Linked DNA regions of Arabidopsis thaliana. The protein of the gene in region 1 purifies or fractionates together with the protein of each later gene. This does not show direct contact. Each region holds a gene or a part of one and is shown on either strand. Other genes may lie near its edges.

Region 1 (6,027 bases):
TGGCTCATTATTAGATGTAGACTTCCATTGTTACAAAAAGCCAACAAAAAATAATTTCAAAAATAAATAAATCAGAATTAAAGGGCATTTCCTTTTACAGTTATATCCATTTTAAGTATTTTTGTCAACTTTAGAGCTTAACGTTGGTTTGTCAAGAGTCATGGTGTAGATGGATATTATTACACAAAAATGACTTCTAGCTAACATATTAGAACTACTAATAATAGTAGATGTTTCGGAAAAAATAAAATTCATAAAGATAGATGTCTATATTTGAAATTTGTGTAACATTTTGTATTTTGTCCTTGTTAGTTATTAGAATGAAGAAAACATTATAAATATAAATTCTAATAGGATTTGGTAAAAACTAATTTTAGCATGTGTACAAACCCTTAGAAATCTGTTTTTGTTTTTTGTGCCAACAATCTTCAATTAATATACATAAACTTTATAAAACAGAATGAGTAACACTTACACTTACAAGTTTATTGGGTCTTTCACTCTTCTGGATAACAATATTTTCTAGATTAACAATCTGACTTACGCTTAAAACCTACACAAACGGTGTATAAATTCCACACTTTTATTCTTAAAATACATAGTTTTCCTTGTATAAAACTTGTAAGCGTTATATACATAGCTGGAGCAAATTAAAATATATAATCAAGTTGCTAGTATGAAACAAAGAAAATTGAATGTCCCATACTCTTGTATTCAAAGGATTTTAAAAATGACGTCTTATATTAATACAATTTTATCTCACTTAGGAGGAAGATTATAAATAAGTTTTAAAAAAAGAAATGAAGCGTTAACGTCGTCATGCTTGATGTCAACTCTATGGCATTGCTCAAAAAACGTGTCAACGTTCTTACATTCTGGAAGTCTTTGATTTGGTGATGCATTGAATATTTGAATGATATAGTGTTACAAATAGATTCGTAGTTGTACTTCTCTCACAACCACAAACACCTAATCCGAATCAAGATTTTTGCACTTGTTTTGGATATATATGTCATACCAAAAAAAGGCAACGAGAAAAAATAGGGTCAAAATTTTGATTAGATATAGCTGAAGCTAGAAAGCAAACCCATGATGAGAAGAACACAATAACCGTCCAATTTTTCTGAACGTGAGGGATCTGAGTAAGCAAGTTTAAAAGATTCAAGAAGCTTTCTAATAATATCAAATTTATCAACCCCACTGATCCCTGTTAAGATTCAGCTGTGTGTTCGAAACTCCCATTACAAATGCATGCATATACCTATGAGCAATATCTATAAGGTTTTCTTTAAAGCAACAACGATTGTTGGTAGAGACCGAAACACACACAAATCTTATAATATGCTTCATGACTTTTGAATTTTGCTGTCATCAAATGATGCTATACTATACCCCCATTTTCAGGGATTCTTCAGATATATCCACATGACATAACTAACACAAGTTTTAGCCATTTCAATTAGTCTGACAGATCACAGACCTCACATACCGTATAAGAAAATAGTTAATTACAAATCAAATGTGGTAGTCCTAACTTTATCAAATAAGTTATGCTATTGCTCAGTCTAATCATATAGGAACAAAGTGTGATCAACTGATCAATCTCTAGTCTCTACAAGACTACAACAAACAGATAATAAAGTACAATATTCAAAATGTACAAACAACACATAACAAAAAAATTAGGAAAATTCAGATGAGTGAATGTAAAGTTTCCATATATATTGATAATATTATCTACCATATTTGGAAGCAAAGAAATAATGTTCTCCACAACAACCAAATCATCCCTCCTCCAATTATCTTTAAGAATATTGATCGAGATATCCGCAACGCTATCTCGGGTAGAAGGCATAAGAAAAGATGGCGGAAGTTCATGCTTCTTTGGATTCGATAGCTCGGTCTTTTCTTTGTTGTTCTTGAATATATTGTAATCTTGTTTTTTTATCTTTTTTGCCAAGATTGCACTATCATTAGGTAAAGCTCTTTGTAATACCTTCAATTTCATTATATGATATTTACAAGTCAGCAAAAACATATATATATTATCATATGGGTGGTATCAAAATCAGATGTTCAGTCCTAAAACAATAAAACCAGCTCACAAATCTACTAATCATATTTTTAGTTTAATTCTCACCACGAAGAATTAAGCTAAAGACAACAACAATGGAGAACAATCTCATACACGAGCGACCAAAAACCCAAGAAGCAATCAGATTAAGGTTATGTCCAATTATAAAAGTCAAAACAACAATTAAAGACTATGTAACTAAGAAATTAAATCTAAATAATATCGTTATCTAGATAGAGCAAGCGAAAGCCACCAGTTGGAGTAAGCCACCACCAACTCCATTGACACAACAATTCACAACCCAAAAGACCTCTAACGAGTGACACGATTCGGTGCATCGACTCAGCTGTTATTTGACCAAAATACCCCTGTTAATTAACACACATCCCGAAGATGGATCTGAGTCTGCAGCTGCAGATTCACGGCGCGTTAATCAACAAAGGCCCGTCGTGTACTTCTTATTGGGCTTCTTCTTCTTCACTTTCTCTTCCTCGCGATTTCATTTCTTCTTCTACGTTTCTTCTTCATCGAAGACTCAGAAGAAGAAGCTGCTCTCGTTCTCGTGGAATCCGATTAAGACGGAGTGGTTTCTCGGCGATGCCTTGTTCTTCTTCTGATACTCTTACGGCTTCTCGCGTCGGTTGTGGCGGAGGAGGTGGTGGTGGAGCCGTTGGCGGTGGAGCTGAGAATGCTTCTGTCGCTAATTTCAAGCTGAACGAATCTACCTTTATTGCTTCTCTCATGCCTAAGAAAGAAATCCGTGCGGATTGCTTCATCGAAGCTCATCCTGAGTACGACGGTCGTGGCGTTGTTATAGCTATCTTTGGTACTTGGATATTCTCTCGTTTTGTATTCTCTAGATTGAATTTGTGAATGGAGAAGTTTTGTATAAGCCTTATGTTATAGTTGGGTTGCTTATACTTGGATCAGATAGTAGAGCGATTGTTTGGTTCTTAAGAAGGTGTTGTAACTCTCCAAGTAAAAATTCTGATTGAGGAACTGAGCAAATGGAATTTTGTGTTTTCCAGATTCTGGTTTTGATCCTTCTGCTGCTGGCTTGCATGTAACTTCTGATGGAAAACCCAAGGTTTTGGACGTCATTGACTGGTATAGTTTTGTGATTTAATTGAATTTTGCATTTAGTGTTCTTTGACTGTGGCGTGATGGTCATTTTACGTTATCGTTTAGCACTGGAAGTGGAGATATAGATACATCCACAGTGGTGAAAGCCAATGAAGATGGTCATATTCGTGGAGCATCAGGTTGGTGATTTGAGAGGTTTTATGATTTCTGCATGATAGTTTGCTTTCTCTTTCTTGCTACGATATGCGTTGATAATTTCTTTTGTTTAAACAGGGGCAACTTTGGTTGTCAATTCTTCATGGAAAAATCCCACTGGAGAGTGGCGTGTAGGTTCCAAGTTGGTTTATCAGTTATTTACAGATGACTTGACTTCTCGTGTGAAGGTAGCGATTAGAGTTGTGACCTTTTTGGCTGTTGGATTACTTTCATCTACTCATTAAATCTTATACCAGAGTTTACATATCTGGTCTGCAATCCCATTTGCTAAGACTTGTTTTGTCATTACACAGAAAGAGAGAAGGAAATCCTGGGATGAAAAGAATCAGGAGGAAATTGCCAAGGCTGTAAATAATCTGTATGATTTCGATCAGGTACTAGGGAGATGCTGATTGTGGTTTGCTGTATTGTAGATGTTATGAGTTAGACAGTGCTACTCAATTCTATCATAACCTCATTTTTCATTCTTGCCTCCAGAAGCACAGCAAGGTGGAAGATGCGAAATTGAAGAAAACTCGTGAAGACCTCCAAAGCAAAGTTGATTTTCTGAAAAAACAAGCTGATGTAAGTTTAGAGACCGCCCTTTGGTAGTTTTATGTCTGTGTACTTGTTCGCTGTGGTCTTGAATCTGTTCTGTAAATCAATTGTTTTTTCTGTAGAAATATGAAGACAAAGGGCCTGTTATTGATGCTGTTGTGTGGCATGATGGAGAAGTATGGAGGGTTGCACTTGATACACAGAGTCTGGAAGAGGATCCAGATAGCGGGAAACTAGCAGACTTCTCCCCACTGACTAACTACCGGCAAGTCTTCCTTTAAACATCTATCTCTTATGAAAGTTCAGGAACTTTTCGTTTGGAAGCATGATTTGTTCACCAATTTTTTTATTTTATTTTATTAATCTCAATCAAATATGTACTACAGAATTGAACGGAAGTATGGCGTGTTTAGCCGACTAGATGCATGCTCCTTTGTTGCTAACGTGTATGATGAGGGAAAGGTTCTAAGCATTGTAACTGATAGTTCTCCTCACGGCACTCATGTTGCTGGAATAGCTACTGCACACCACCCTGAGGTGCAAAACGCATCTATATAATTTAGATACATTGATGATTTGTTGCAACCAATTAACTTACCTTCTATGTGTATGTTAGGAGCATTTGTTAAATGGTGTGGCACCTGGTGCACAAATAATATCTTGCAAAATTGGAGACTCGCGATTAGGTTCAATGGAGACCGGAACTGGATTGACTCGGGCATTGATAGCTGCCCTAGAGGTAATAATTCATCAGCTGATATGAATTTACCATTAGCTGAAAATCATTTGTAACTTCGTGAAAGTATATTGTATGAAGTTTGAACTAAACAAGTCGTATATCTCTTGAATTACTTAAACATCACGAAGAATTTCATATATTTGTGGATTATTATATGTGAGGTTTGCATTGACACAAGTCAATACGTTCAATGTTTCTTTTTTGTATATACTGACTTTTATAATAATGTTACAGCATAACTGTGATCTTGTCAACATGAGCTATGGAGAGCCAGCATTACTTCCAGACTATGGGCGCTTTGTTGATCTTGTTACTGAAGTATCATTCAAATCCTTTTGTCTTTATTTGGGCAGCACTTATTAGCTTGTATTTTTTGCTTTTCTTCTAGCGTTTATGGACTTTCTGCCATGTTTTATTAGGCTGTGAACAAGAGACGTCTAATTTTTGTAAGTAGTGCTGGCAACAGTGGTCCAGCTTTGACAACAGTCGGAGCACCGGGTGGAACAACGTCCAGTATCATTGGGGTTGGTGCGTATGTTTCTCCTGCAATGGCAGCAGGTGCCCATTCAGTGGTGGAACCTCCCAGTGAGGGGCTTGAATACACTTGGTATTTTCACCTTTTTTAACTTTGGAATTATTCTACAGCTAGTTGTAGCTGGCATGATATAGTTATTGTTATATTGTAGGTCAAGCCGGGGGCCAACATCTGATGGAGATCTTGGTGTCTGCATAAGTGCACCTGGTGGGGCTGTTGCTCCTGTTCCTACATGGACGCTTCAAAGACGCATGCTCATGAATGGAACATCAATGGCATCTCCTTCTGCCTGTGGGGCAATTGCGTTACTTCTAAGTGCTATGAAGGTTTCTTCTTCAACATTACTTTTTATTTCTGCACATCCGTTTCCTATTCCGTTCTTTTTAGTTCTGCTGCTGAGTGCTGACATTCTTTCACACTTCTGCAGGCTGAGGGCATCCCAGTTAGCCCGTACAGTGTGAGAAGGGCCCTTGAAAATACATCTACACCAGTAGGTGATCTACCTGAAGATAAACTAACTACTGGACAAGGGCTTATGCAAGTTGATAAGTAAGGTTCTATACTGTGTAATTAATTTGACACCATATTTCAGATAATTTATGTATTTATTTTGTTATGACAGGGCATATGAATACTTAAAACAGTTTCAGGACTATCCATGCGTATTTTATCAGATAAAGGTCAATCTCTCCGGTAAAACAAGTATGTAAACGAATAATTTGAACTTCTTTAAAACAATTTCAAGCTAGTAGCTTATTGAAAACTTGCTTACTGGAACCTAGCTACTAATTTAAGGGCTTCCTGCTGTTACATTGGGAAAGTTTCCTAAGATTTTGGGGTTTT
Region 2 (5,519 bases), on another chromosome or scaffold:
CTCTACATTAGCCAGTAAACTCTGATTATAGAGTTTCTTGCTGAAGAAGAAAGAAAAGTTTTGTGTAACTTAAGAGTCAAGAGATGACAAAGAAGGATATTCTTTACGATACAGTACTTGCTCGTAGTTTTAGCAAAACTGATCAGAAGAGACTTTGCTGTGGAGCTTTCATTGCCTCTCTTCTCTTGGTCCTCACTCTTTGCACTGTCGTTAAACCTTATCTCAGCCCTTTACCAATCGGTAAGTCTCTTACCACGTTTTGCCGAAAAGCCAGATAACGCAAAAACAATCATTTTAACGTGTATCTCTTTCTTTCTTTCTTCAGTGGAGTTACAGTTATCAGTTGGCACTGGTCTAAGGATGCTGAGTATAACAGAATTAACTACCAACACTACAATCTCCAAAGAAGAAGTTATTTCAGGTCAATATACTTCAGAATTTTCTCTACAATTGTCTTGTTATGGTTTTTAGTCATTTTCTGTATAGTATGATACAGTTTGTTCTTTTGATTTTGTCCTGACTGAATCTTCAGAGTGCAATAAAATGGAGAAACCTATCTGTCACTGTAACACACTAGGAAGCAAAGAGTTTTGCGATGTAAGCGGCGACGTAAGAATCCATGGTAAATCCGCAACTGTTCTTGCGGCGGTCACGTTTGCGTTTTCCGGGAATTCCACGTGGTATATGAGACCTTATGCGAGAAAAGACCAAGTTCCTGCCATGAAACGCGTGAGAGAATGGACGGTGAAATTAGTACAAAACGCTAGTTTATCACGCTGCGTTAGGAATCACAGCGTTCCGGCGATTCTTTTCTCTCTCGGAGGCTTCTCGTTGAACAATTTCCATGATTTCACGGACATCGTGATTCCTCTGTACACGACGGCGCGTAGATTCAGCGGTGAAGTTCAGTTCCTCGTGACGAACAAGAATCTTTTGTGGATCAACAAATTTAAGGAATTAGTGAGGAAACTCTCTAATTACGAAGTGATTTACATCGACGAAGAAGACGAAACGCATTGTTTCAGCAGCGTCATCGTTGGTCTCAATCGCCACCGTGATTATGACAAAGAGCTAACGACTGATCCTTCGAATTCGGAGTATTCAATGTCCGATTTCCGGAAATTCCTCAGAGACACATACTCATTGAGAAACTCCGCCGTGACTACGAGGCGGAAGCCACGGATTCTGATTTTGTCTAGGAGCAGATCGCGAGCGTTTGTGAACGCGGGTGAAATCGCTAGAGCGGCGAGACAAATCGGATTTAAAGTCGTGGTGGCGGAAGCAAACACGGAAATCGCGAGTTTCGCAATAACTGTGAACTCCTGTGACGTGATGCTCGGCGTTCACGGCGCGGGGATGACGAACATGGTGTTCTTACCTGATAACGCGATCGTGATTCAGATTCTTCCGATCGGTGGATTCGAGTGGCTTGCAAAGATGGATTTCGAGTATCCGTCGAAGGGCATGAATCTGAGGTATTTGGAGTACAAGATCACGGCGGAGGAGAGCACACTGGTGAAGCAGTACGGACGCGATCACGAGTTCGTTAGAGATCCATTGGCCGTTGCAAAACGCGGGTGGGGAACTTTCAAGTCGGTTTATTTGGTACAGCAGAACGTTAGCGTTGATATAAACCGGTTCAAGCTGGTTCTTGTCAAAGCTCTTGAGCTATTGCATAATCAGTCAGTGTAAATAAGTAACTTTCAAGCATTCGTGTACTGTAATCTTGGGAACGAAATAATTACCAGATCATTTGGTCTAGTTTAGATTTTTCTCAAATTTGTTTAACCGTCCCCTTAACAAACACTCAAGTCTGAAGTCTGAACCAATAACTGGGCCTTTTGGGCTAACTCATAAAAACTCAAAACAGGCCCATTTATCAAACAATAGCGTATACCCTAGGGCTTTTTTCAAATTCTCTATTCTCTCTTTCATTTCCAGAACACTCTTGTCACACTTCCATTTAGGGTTTTCTGCAAATTTCTCCGTTCGAGATCAATTCCGTCGAGATCTCAAGCTCTCTCACTCGTAGTAAAAAAATGGCGGCGGTAGCGGCACCAATGGCTTCGAAGCCCCGTGGATCTAAAGCTGAATCGTTCGTAGACAACAAGCGGAGAGAAGATATCCGATTCGCGAACATCAACTCTGCTCGAGCAGTCTCTGACGCCGTCCGTACTAGTTTGGGACCGAAAGGAATGGACAAGATGATTTCCACGGCGAACGGAGAGGTAATCATTACTAACGATGGAGCTACGATCCTTAACAAGATGGAGGTTTTGCAGCCAGCGGCGAAGATGTTAGTCGAGCTTTCCAAATCTCAAGATTCAGCCGCCGGAGATGGTACCACAACTGTCGTAGTAATCGCCGGTGCGCTTCTCAAGGAGTGTCAATCGCTTCTCACAAACGGGATCCACCCTACTGTCATTTCAGATTCGCTTCACAAGGCGTGTGGTAAGGCGATCGATATTTTGACTGCCATGGCTGTTCCAGTGGAGCTCACTGATAGAGATTCACTTGTGAAATCTGCGAGCACATCGCTTAACAGTAAGGTTGTTAGTCAGTACTCTACATTGCTTGCTCCTTTAGCTGTAGATGCGGTTCTCTCTGTTATAGATCCGGAAAAGCCTGAGATTGTGGATTTGCGTGATATTAAGATTGTTAAGAAGCTTGGTGGGACTGTGGATGATACACATACTGTGAAAGGTTTGGTTTTTGATAAGAAGGTTAGCCGTGCTGCTGGTGGACCGACTCGTGTGGAGAATGCTAAGATTGCTGTGATTCAGTTCCAGATCTCACCTCCTAAGACTGATATCGAGCAGAGTATTGTTGTCTCTGATTATACTCAGATGGATAGGATCTTGAAAGAAGAGAGGAATTACATATTGGGGATGATTAAGAAGATCAAAGCAACTGGTTGCAATGTGTTGTTGATTCAGAAGAGTATTTTGAGGGATGCAGTGACTGATCTATCTCTTCACTATTTGGCCAAAGCTAAGATTATGGTTATTAAGGATGTTGAGAGAGATGAGATTGAATTTGTCACCAAGACATTGAACTGCTTGCCTATCGCCAATATTGAGCATTTCAGAGCTGAGAAGCTTGGCCATGCTGATCTTGTTGAGGAGGCCTCCCTTGGAGATGGAAAGATTTTGAAGATCACTGGTATCAAGGACATGGGGAGAACTACATCTGTTCTAGTTCGTGGCTCCAACCAGCTTGTTCTAGATGAAGCTGAAAGGAGTTTACATGATGCCTTGTGTGTGGTTAGGTGTCTAGTGAGCAAAAGGTTTTTGATTGCAGGAGGTGGTGCACCAGAGATTGAGCTCTCAAGGCAGCTCGGTGCTTGGGCTAAGGTGCTACATGGGATGGAAGGTTACTGTGTGAAGTCTTTTGCTGAAGCTCTCGAAGTTATTCCTTACACACTAGCCGAGAATGCAGGGTTAAACCCTATCGCCATTGTGACTGAACTCAGGAACAAGCATGCTCAAGGGGAAATCAACGCAGGGATCAATGTGAGGAAAGGACAGATCACTAACATCTTGGAGGAAAATGTTGTTCAGCCTCTGCTTGTGAGTACCAGTGCGATCACTTTAGCAACTGAATGCGTTAGGATGATTTTGAAGATTGATGACATCGTAACTGTGAGGTAGTGTGGTAGTTTCTTTCAAAACAGGTCCCAGAACACTTCTATTGCTCTATCTAAGCTTTTGTTTCGTTTTTTTCATGTGTTGTGCTTGCACAATGGTTTTGAACTTAGACTCCCTTTTCTTGCAACATGTGCTATTGCAGTTAAGTGGCTTTATTTGTGGTTTAGTGCGATTGTATTTCTTTCTAGTGACTTGTGATATCAAGATCTCTCAGTTTTTTTTGTTTCATATGTTGATTTAGTTTTGGTTATGAAAGTCCAAATGGTAGGAGTAGAAACAGAACTTTAATTACTGGGACTCAAATATTTGATGCATGATGGGTCACAAAATCAGTTGCCTATCTGGTTAATCATAGACTGGGTCACAAATGTTATAGATTCGTTGTATGAAAGATTAAGACAGTACACAGTTGCATGAACATGAGTTCTCCAGGTCATTGGTCTGTCTCCAACCAGACCGGATCAGAACATTTGCTTCTCTATTGTCAACTTTGATTTAATGTTACCATCTTTTCATTTTTATTCATAAATAAATTGCAACCCAATTTTGATTACAACTCAAAAGTAAACGACTAGGATATCAATTGTATGAGAGACCCACTTGAGGAGCCTGTGTGTTGGCCAAGTTCTTGTATGTGTATGTACAGAGAAGTAATGCGTTGTGTTTGCAGCACTTTTACACTTCAGATTCAGAATTACTCTTCTTGTGTTGTGCCTCAAGTAGATGTTTGGTCAGTGACTCTGGATCTTGTTGACTCTCTTCAAGAGCCAGTTTTCTTTCTTCGTTTTTGCCCCAAAGAACTAAGTAGAGCCCTAGCATTATAAACACTGCACCAACAATCCTGCAAAGCCAAAAAGATTCTATTAGATCGAGTAATCGAGAGAAACAAAACCCGATACATCCCGTTTTCAATGCGCTTACCCTCCCGAGTATAACTGATCACCAAGAATAAGAAACGCCATCGCAGCAACAAGAAGTGTCTGGAGAGGCTGGAAAACAGCGACAAAAACTGGACCGCTTTTGTAGATACACCATGTTTGAAGATAAACCACCAACCCTGACGCTATTATTCCCTGTAAACACGGCCAAAGGAACATTCATTTAGCTAATTTCCATTGATTCAGATCAAGGAAAAGGAAGAGAGAGAGACAGAGGGAGGGAGCTTACGGCGTATAGGATGGTGAAGAGCTCTTCCCAAGAGACGATGATCCAATTATTTAGATCAGTTTCCACAAAGAGAGCAATAACCAGAAACTGAATCAGACCAAAGAAACATGTGAAGGATGTTAAAGTGAGCTTCGCCGGGTATTGCTTTAGAACAGGAGCTTGAAGAACCATCCAACCAGCCCATGACAGACAATGTCCCATAAGGTATAACCATCCGAGTGTCAAGCTGTGCGAGTTGTCAGATCCGACCACCTCTTCCTTTTGCATGTTAAGGCCCTGGTCAAATATCGGAAATCCTCTGTACAATGTGATCACGGTGGCTCCACCGATGCTCACAAGAGTTCCCAATACTTTTGCCACACCATGTTTCCTGACCAGGTCTATGTGCTCTAGCCTTGATTCATAGAGGAAGATCAATGTTAGACCCAGCCATGAAAATGATTAGAATGGTATTTCTAGGAGGACGAAGTTGCTAGGGTACCTTAAGGCACAAGCCATGATGAAAGTGATGGCAGGAACAGAGTTCTGCATTGCGGAAGCAAAAGTTGGAGTTGCATAGTAAAGTCCTAATAGGTAGAATCCTTGGTTCGCTGTGATGCTGATGTTAAAATACACAAGCAAAGTTTCAGCATTATAATCATTGATTTAAGGATTGAGGAATCGGTTCTTATTATTGTGTTCTCAGGTTAAGCTATACCCTATGAG
Region 3 (5,511 bases), on another chromosome or scaffold:
TTTTGGAGGAGAAGGATTATAAAATTCCATGTGGTATGATAACAGTTTGATTAATAGGACTAAGTTTTGGCTTGCTACTACAAAAAATTAGGACGCTACTTGGATTTAGCTCCTCTATGAACCTGTAGTGTTGTCTCGTTTACAAGAATCTGTTAAATTATCTTGAATTGGGTTTGTCTTTGGCTAATATCTCGTTTTTTTTGTTTATGAAAACAGAGATTTTATGGCTTTGCAATTTGCTTGTCAGCAGGTTTGACCTGTACACTTTTGGTAAGTATAACTCTCAAGTCTTAGCAATGTTAGAAAGCACTATCCTTATTTCTGCATTGAAAGGAATCATTTGATTGGTTTAGCTGTATTCTTCTTCTGTACTTTGGGTTGTCTTAGCTCTTTTACTGGTGATATAACTCTTTATCTCTTATTTGTTTGACGATGCAGTCGATGCTTGTTTTCTTTAATCCGGTCAAGTTTGGCATCACATTCACTCTGGGAAATTTGATGGCACTCGGGAGGTTCGTATTGGAATTTTGTGTAGCTTCTTGTTATATTGCATTGGTGTCGCAATTCTGTGTGTACAGTATTTCTCCATTTTTCTCTCTTTGTTCCTGGATTTTAAGTTTCATGTCACTTTTGTATGGCAGCACAGCATTCCTTATAGGCCCACAGCGGCAGGTGACTATGATGCTTGACCCAGCTCGTATCTACGCTACTGCATTGTATCTAGCAAGCATTATCATTGCCTTGTTTTGTGCTCTTTATGTAAGTGGGGTTTCTCAATTCAAAATACTGGATGCACAACATTGCTTATGTTCAGTTAAAACTAGGTAGTGAAAATGCCTTGTTGGACTAAATATAATCTGTCATCATCTTTCTGTACAGGTTCGCAACAAGCTTCTGACACTGCTGGCTATCATTCTTGAGTTCACTGGTCTAATTTGGTATGCTAAAACTTGCTTTCAAGCTCTTACATTTTTATCCTAACTTTCTTAGTAATACAATTACATGATATATACTCTTCGAATAGTATATTATCCCGAGTGGACCTAATGCTCCTTATACGGTTTCTGAGTTTGTCACAAAAGCTGTCAACATTCATCTTGGAGAATGAATCCCTTGTGTTCTTTAAAACTGCAGGTATAGCTTGAGCTACATCCCTTTTGCAAGAACCATGGTCTCAAAGATCTTCATGACTTGTTTTGACACCGAGTTTTAAGCTACAGTTTACACACATCAGGTCAAAGATTTCTTGTTCCAAAACCTTGATGCTCTGGCTGAACGATTGGTCAATCTCCTCCAAATGTGTTCAAAGCAGGACTTGTTTGATGCACCGGTAACGTGCCATGCCCTTTATGGCTTATAATTGCCTCTTTACATCAAGTTCACGTCTTCACAAATCCTAGCACAGTTTTTTGTATATTTGCTGTGGAACTTAACGTAGATTTGGATGTTATTGCTGTTTGCTACAAAATTAAGATGTTAACTTCACTTGTTTTAGTTTCATTGTCATGGTTACGCTAAAGACTTAATCCAGGAGGGAAATTGCATATTCTTATCAAAAGCACTTAACTTGAAAGTTGCAGCATAAAATCTAAAAATGGGAGGAAAATAAAATCTGAAAATAATATGCAAAGAAATAGAAATCGATCCCTGCCCTTAACGAACGAAATCACATAGTACAGTACAACCTTGTAAAAAGCTAGCAGATAAAAAGAGAACATTCAGTAGAAGCCAAAGAGATGCAGAAGAACAAAGCTCAATGACTTGAAGCGGCTGGAGAAGTAAGCTCTCTAGAAGACAACAGTGTCGAGCATAGTGCCTAGTGTCTGAACAATGTTGGATGACATGAGGTTCGAGACATGTTCTTCCAGATGCTTCTTTGCATCTTGTCTTCCCACATTCACAATTGCCAGCTTCTCTGGTGACAACTCGTCCTCCTCTTGAACCGCCTTGTTATATTTAGCAGCCAAGCTCAACATCTCCTGTTAAACAGGAGATAATGAAAATGTCAATGAACATGATTGTAGAATATGCTTGAACAGATAAAAACATAACCCTGTGTTTCTTTACCTGGACCGTCTGTTCGTTGGTCTTGGAGTGGGTGTCAAAGCGTCTTAGCGTCAGACCATCTGTCCATTTCTTCTTGTGGAGGTTGAGTAACATCTTCTCCTCAAGCTCGTTCTTCCTATAGTTGATTGCTATTGAGTAATAGTGTCTGTTCAACCCGTGAATCAAAGCCTGCATAGTAGTATCCAAAAGTCAGTATCAGAGAAAACCTTTGATTTCGTTTCAACTTAAAAACAGGACACATTCAGTTAGTGATAATCACCTGGATCGATGGTTTGTTCAAGTGCCCAAGGTTCGATGTTGTTTGACGGGGTTCCTGCCCAAGCATAATGGTCTGTGGATTTATGGAGCGGAACGCATCAATCACCACCTTTCCTTTCACACTCTGAATCGGATCTACCACCACTGCTACAGCTCGCTGATTCAAAGCTTCAAAACTCTACAAAAGCACACAGATATTCACAATGAACATATATAATACAAAGTGAATCACAACAGGGTATAGAACACAATGAGTAACATTCTATTTAGTTTTTTGAGCCATCAATAAAGCAAACAACAAATTCTCAAGTGCAATTCACAAATTGATAAGTATGCAAACAGAGCAAACAAAACTCTACCTGTTGAGTATTAATGTCAACCCCAGAAAGCCAGCAGCCGAATCCAGGATGTGAATGATACCAACCAACCACCATCTCAGGTCTGAAACAAGATACAAGAAGAATCAGATCCAAAACCTAAATAGGAAACCTCACTTAAGCGTAGTAAATAGGTTTAGAGAAGAACTAGTTACCTTCCGGTCTGTTTAAGCATGTCGAGCATATTAGTCTGGAAAACATGATCAACAGCTTCAACACTAACACCAGTACCACTCTGAGGCATCGCAAAAACATCCACAACCCTAACAGTGTATTCATCCACAAACTCTCCAAGCATCAATCCCATGACTTCCATAGGAACACCAGCTCTTCCTGCAATATTCCGATCAATTTTCATTAAATCTCTACTCAAATCCGCATTTTGAATCTCAGAAACAGATCGAATAAAACCCTAGAGTTCCAGAGCAAAAGAGGACGAGAGTAAAATCACAGAGAACGAGACAAAATCATAAAACCCTAAGCAAGAGAAGACTAAATTAGAGCTTGGGTTTGGATTGATTACCGTGCTTAAGCATCTTGAGGAGAGCGAGAGAAGAGATGTAAACCTGCTCCGATGTATCGAGAGTCGGAGAATCAGGCGATGCGTGACCTAAACCGCCACCAGCTCCGAAGATTCTCTGTAGTCTCTCCATAATCAGATGAATTGATTAGTCGTCTTCTTCGAAAGTTTGTTCTTCTGGGTTTTTGCTACAAGAATGGGATCTTATAAGAAAACCTTTCTCAGTTTTCTTTGTTAACAAGACAGACGAAGATGGATCGAATTACTCGATTAGGCGACACTAATTACATATAAGTCCTTCAATATTTCCTTTTATTTATTGTAACCAATAATTCACCAAATTTCCAAATCATCCCCAAAAATAAAAGTTAATAACCAATTTGAATTTCCATATTTTTTTTGTCAAAATTTTAAATTTCATTACAATGCAAATCATGTCATTGTGTTAATATTGTTAATTCGGTTGCATAATATAAATCTACTTTACTTAGAGCTTATAGTTTTCGTTTTATGTTTAGACTTCTGGCTAGTGTATATACAATAACTAAACATGTAAATATTGAACTGTTTTCCAGACGGATTTTATTTGGCACCTTGAAAGTTCACAAGATCAATGAAAGAAAAAAGGAAAACGACTCCGTTTCAGTCATGATCAAAGGTTCTCCAACAAAACCTCACAGCTCTAGACCGAAATCAAACTCTAATGGATGGGAAAAAGAAGAATCCTTTTTGAGAGCAGGCAACATTTTCCAAACGAAACTGTAGAGAGGTTTCAACTCAAAGATCAGGCATGCCCTTTCCAGTTTTAGCATCATATGTCTGCTCCCAGACAAACTCCATTGGTGTGTCCTTAGGGCCAGCTGCAAAGAGAAAAGTATGAATCCTTCTATAAGAAAACCGCTACTATCAAGTTTGTTGATTATGTTGATAGCAAACGAATTATGTTGATTCTATGTTTATCTTATAGCCGATCTATGATTATGTTTTTTTCTCAGATAGCTAACAGACTTCCACTATATATTTCCAAAATCCAACGTTTAAAGAGATATTGAGCTTCTATGTACCAGTTGTGGGTCGCGGCGTTGCCCTTATCTTTAGAATCTCTGGTCGGGGAATTATGGAACCAGATGTGCCAGTGCCTCTGGCTACTCTTACTTTTGTTCCATCTTCTAGGTATTTTACACCAACCTTACAAGGCCTCCTGTGGTAGAAAAGATAATAGATTAATAAGTGATCTCTCGCTTGAGCAAAAGAGTAATTGGAGACAGTAGTGCAGAGTGAAATCATACCCAGTGACAGGATCAACAACTTGGACATTTGAGGCGTGAAGAGGAGCCTCTACAGTGAAAATTCCACCTTCGTGATCAGGGCCTCCCTTTATATGTTTCTTGATCTGAGAACACAGGAAAAAAAAAGCATCAGCGAAAAACATATACAAGCTTCAGTGAGTAGACAAAGACTATCCCAGCAGCAAGGTAGAACATCCAAAACGATAACAGTTTCAAGATAAACAATTCAAAAGAATTGTGTAGCGAAATCCATGGAACTAGAGTCGCTTTGTGATTTAGTAACCGTCTACTTGATGCTTGGATTAAAAAAATGAGAATCAAATGAAAATTGATAACTCTATGGTTGGTGTTGAGCTAGTGATATGATATTGATTCAGTACTAGTTCATACTCTACAAACCAAATCAAGAACAAAAAAATCAAAAAATGAACTTGTACATTCATTCTCTAAATGCATGAGACAGAGCGAACAAAAGATATCCAGAACAAGACTATCTCACCAGATTCTTCCCTTCAACGATGACACGATTTTGGGATCGAATGACACGCTTTATGGTTCCAGTCTCACCCTTATCTTTCCCACGAATTATCATTACCTGCACATAAAATCATACCCCAGAAACAACAGATCAAAAATGAAACCAAACTAATGAACACCACAAGAAGAACATGAGTGGTGTACTCACATTGTCTCCTCGAAGTATCTTCCAGTGTCTGATGAGTTTCTCAGCAGCTTTCCAGCCCATAGCTGCTACTCTCTTTGAGAATAATCCTAAAAATTACATCACAACAAATTCACGTCTTTCTTCTAACAAAAAAAACAACGAGAAACGGAAAGCATGAAGAATCCAAATCAAAGAAATTGAAAATGGCAGGGCCAATTTCGAGGGTTTTCAACTGCGGAAAGCCACCTAAATTAGGGTTTTTTCACGTCAAAGATACGCAACCAAAAAATTTATACATAATTCCGATCTAATTCGAAAAGGGAGAAAATTGATGAT

What was found.
Region 2: the proteins of TPP2 (region 1) and AT3G18190 fractionate together in Arabidopsis thaliana (co-fractionation; one large-scale study listed by BioGRID). This does not show direct contact.
Region 3: the proteins of TPP2 (region 1) and AT5G23540 fractionate together in Arabidopsis thaliana (co-fractionation; one large-scale study listed by BioGRID). This does not show direct contact.

Annotation. Positions count from the first base shown.
Region 1 is NC_003075.7:11,166,330-11,172,356, reverse strand, and holds the start of TPP2 (tripeptidyl peptidase ii), read left to right. Parts: upstream 1-2,285; 5' UTR 2,286-2,467; coding exon 2,468-2,900; intron 2,901-3,102; coding exon 3,103-3,181; intron 3,182-3,262; coding exon 3,263-3,336; intron 3,337-3,430; coding exon 3,431-3,540; intron 3,541-3,666; coding exon 3,667-3,747; intron 3,748-3,850; coding exon 3,851-3,937; intron 3,938-4,032; coding exon 4,033-4,175; intron 4,176-4,296; coding exon 4,297-4,447; intron 4,448-4,526; coding exon 4,527-4,649; intron 4,650-4,883; coding exon 4,884-4,967; intron 4,968-5,068; coding exon 5,069-5,256; intron 5,257-5,335; coding exon 5,336-5,510; intron 5,511-5,611; coding exon 5,612-5,733; intron 5,734-5,806; coding exon 5,807-5,886; intron 5,887-6,027. UniProt on the Arabidopsis thaliana protein: Serine protease of the proteasome pathway that may function with the 20S proteasome to degrade oxidized proteins generated by environmental stress.
Region 2 is NC_003074.8:6,230,187-6,235,705, forward strand, and holds AT3G18190 (TCP-1/cpn60 chaperonin family protein), read left to right. Parts: upstream 1-1,921; 5' UTR 1,922-2,039; coding exon 2,040-3,650; 3' UTR 3,651-3,997; downstream 3,998-5,519. Other genes in the region: AT3G18180 (Glycosyltransferase family 61 protein), read left to right, coding at 84-240, 326-421, 533-1,692; UMAMIT4 (nodulin MtN21 /EamA-like transporter family protein), read right to left, coding at 4,323-4,488, 4,569-4,720, 4,815-5,208, 5,296-5,412, 5,512-5,519. UniProt on the Arabidopsis thaliana protein: Molecular chaperone; assists the folding of proteins upon ATP hydrolysis. Known to play a role, in vitro, in the folding of actin and tubulin.
Region 3 is NC_003076.8:7,935,616-7,941,126, reverse strand, and holds AT5G23540 (Mov34/MPN/PAD-1 family protein), read right to left. Parts: upstream 3,498-5,511; 5' UTR 3,356-3,497; coding exon 3,226-3,355; intron 3,036-3,225; coding exon 2,858-3,035; intron 2,767-2,857; coding exon 2,685-2,766; intron 2,504-2,684; coding exon 2,327-2,503; intron 2,236-2,326; coding exon 2,068-2,235; intron 1,980-2,067; coding exon 1,788-1,979; 3' UTR 1,523-1,787; downstream 1-1,522. Other genes in the region: AT5G23550 (Got1/Sft2-like vescicle transport protein family), read left to right, coding at 217-270, 439-512, 642-759, 880-938, 1,135-1,213; AT5G23535 (KOW domain-containing protein), read right to left, coding at 4,000-4,082, 4,287-4,423, 4,512-4,615, 5,011-5,106, 5,197-5,256. UniProt on the Arabidopsis thaliana protein: Metalloprotease component of the 26S proteasome that specifically cleaves 'Lys-63'-linked polyubiquitin chains. The 26S proteasome is involved in the ATP-dependent degradation of ubiquitinated proteins.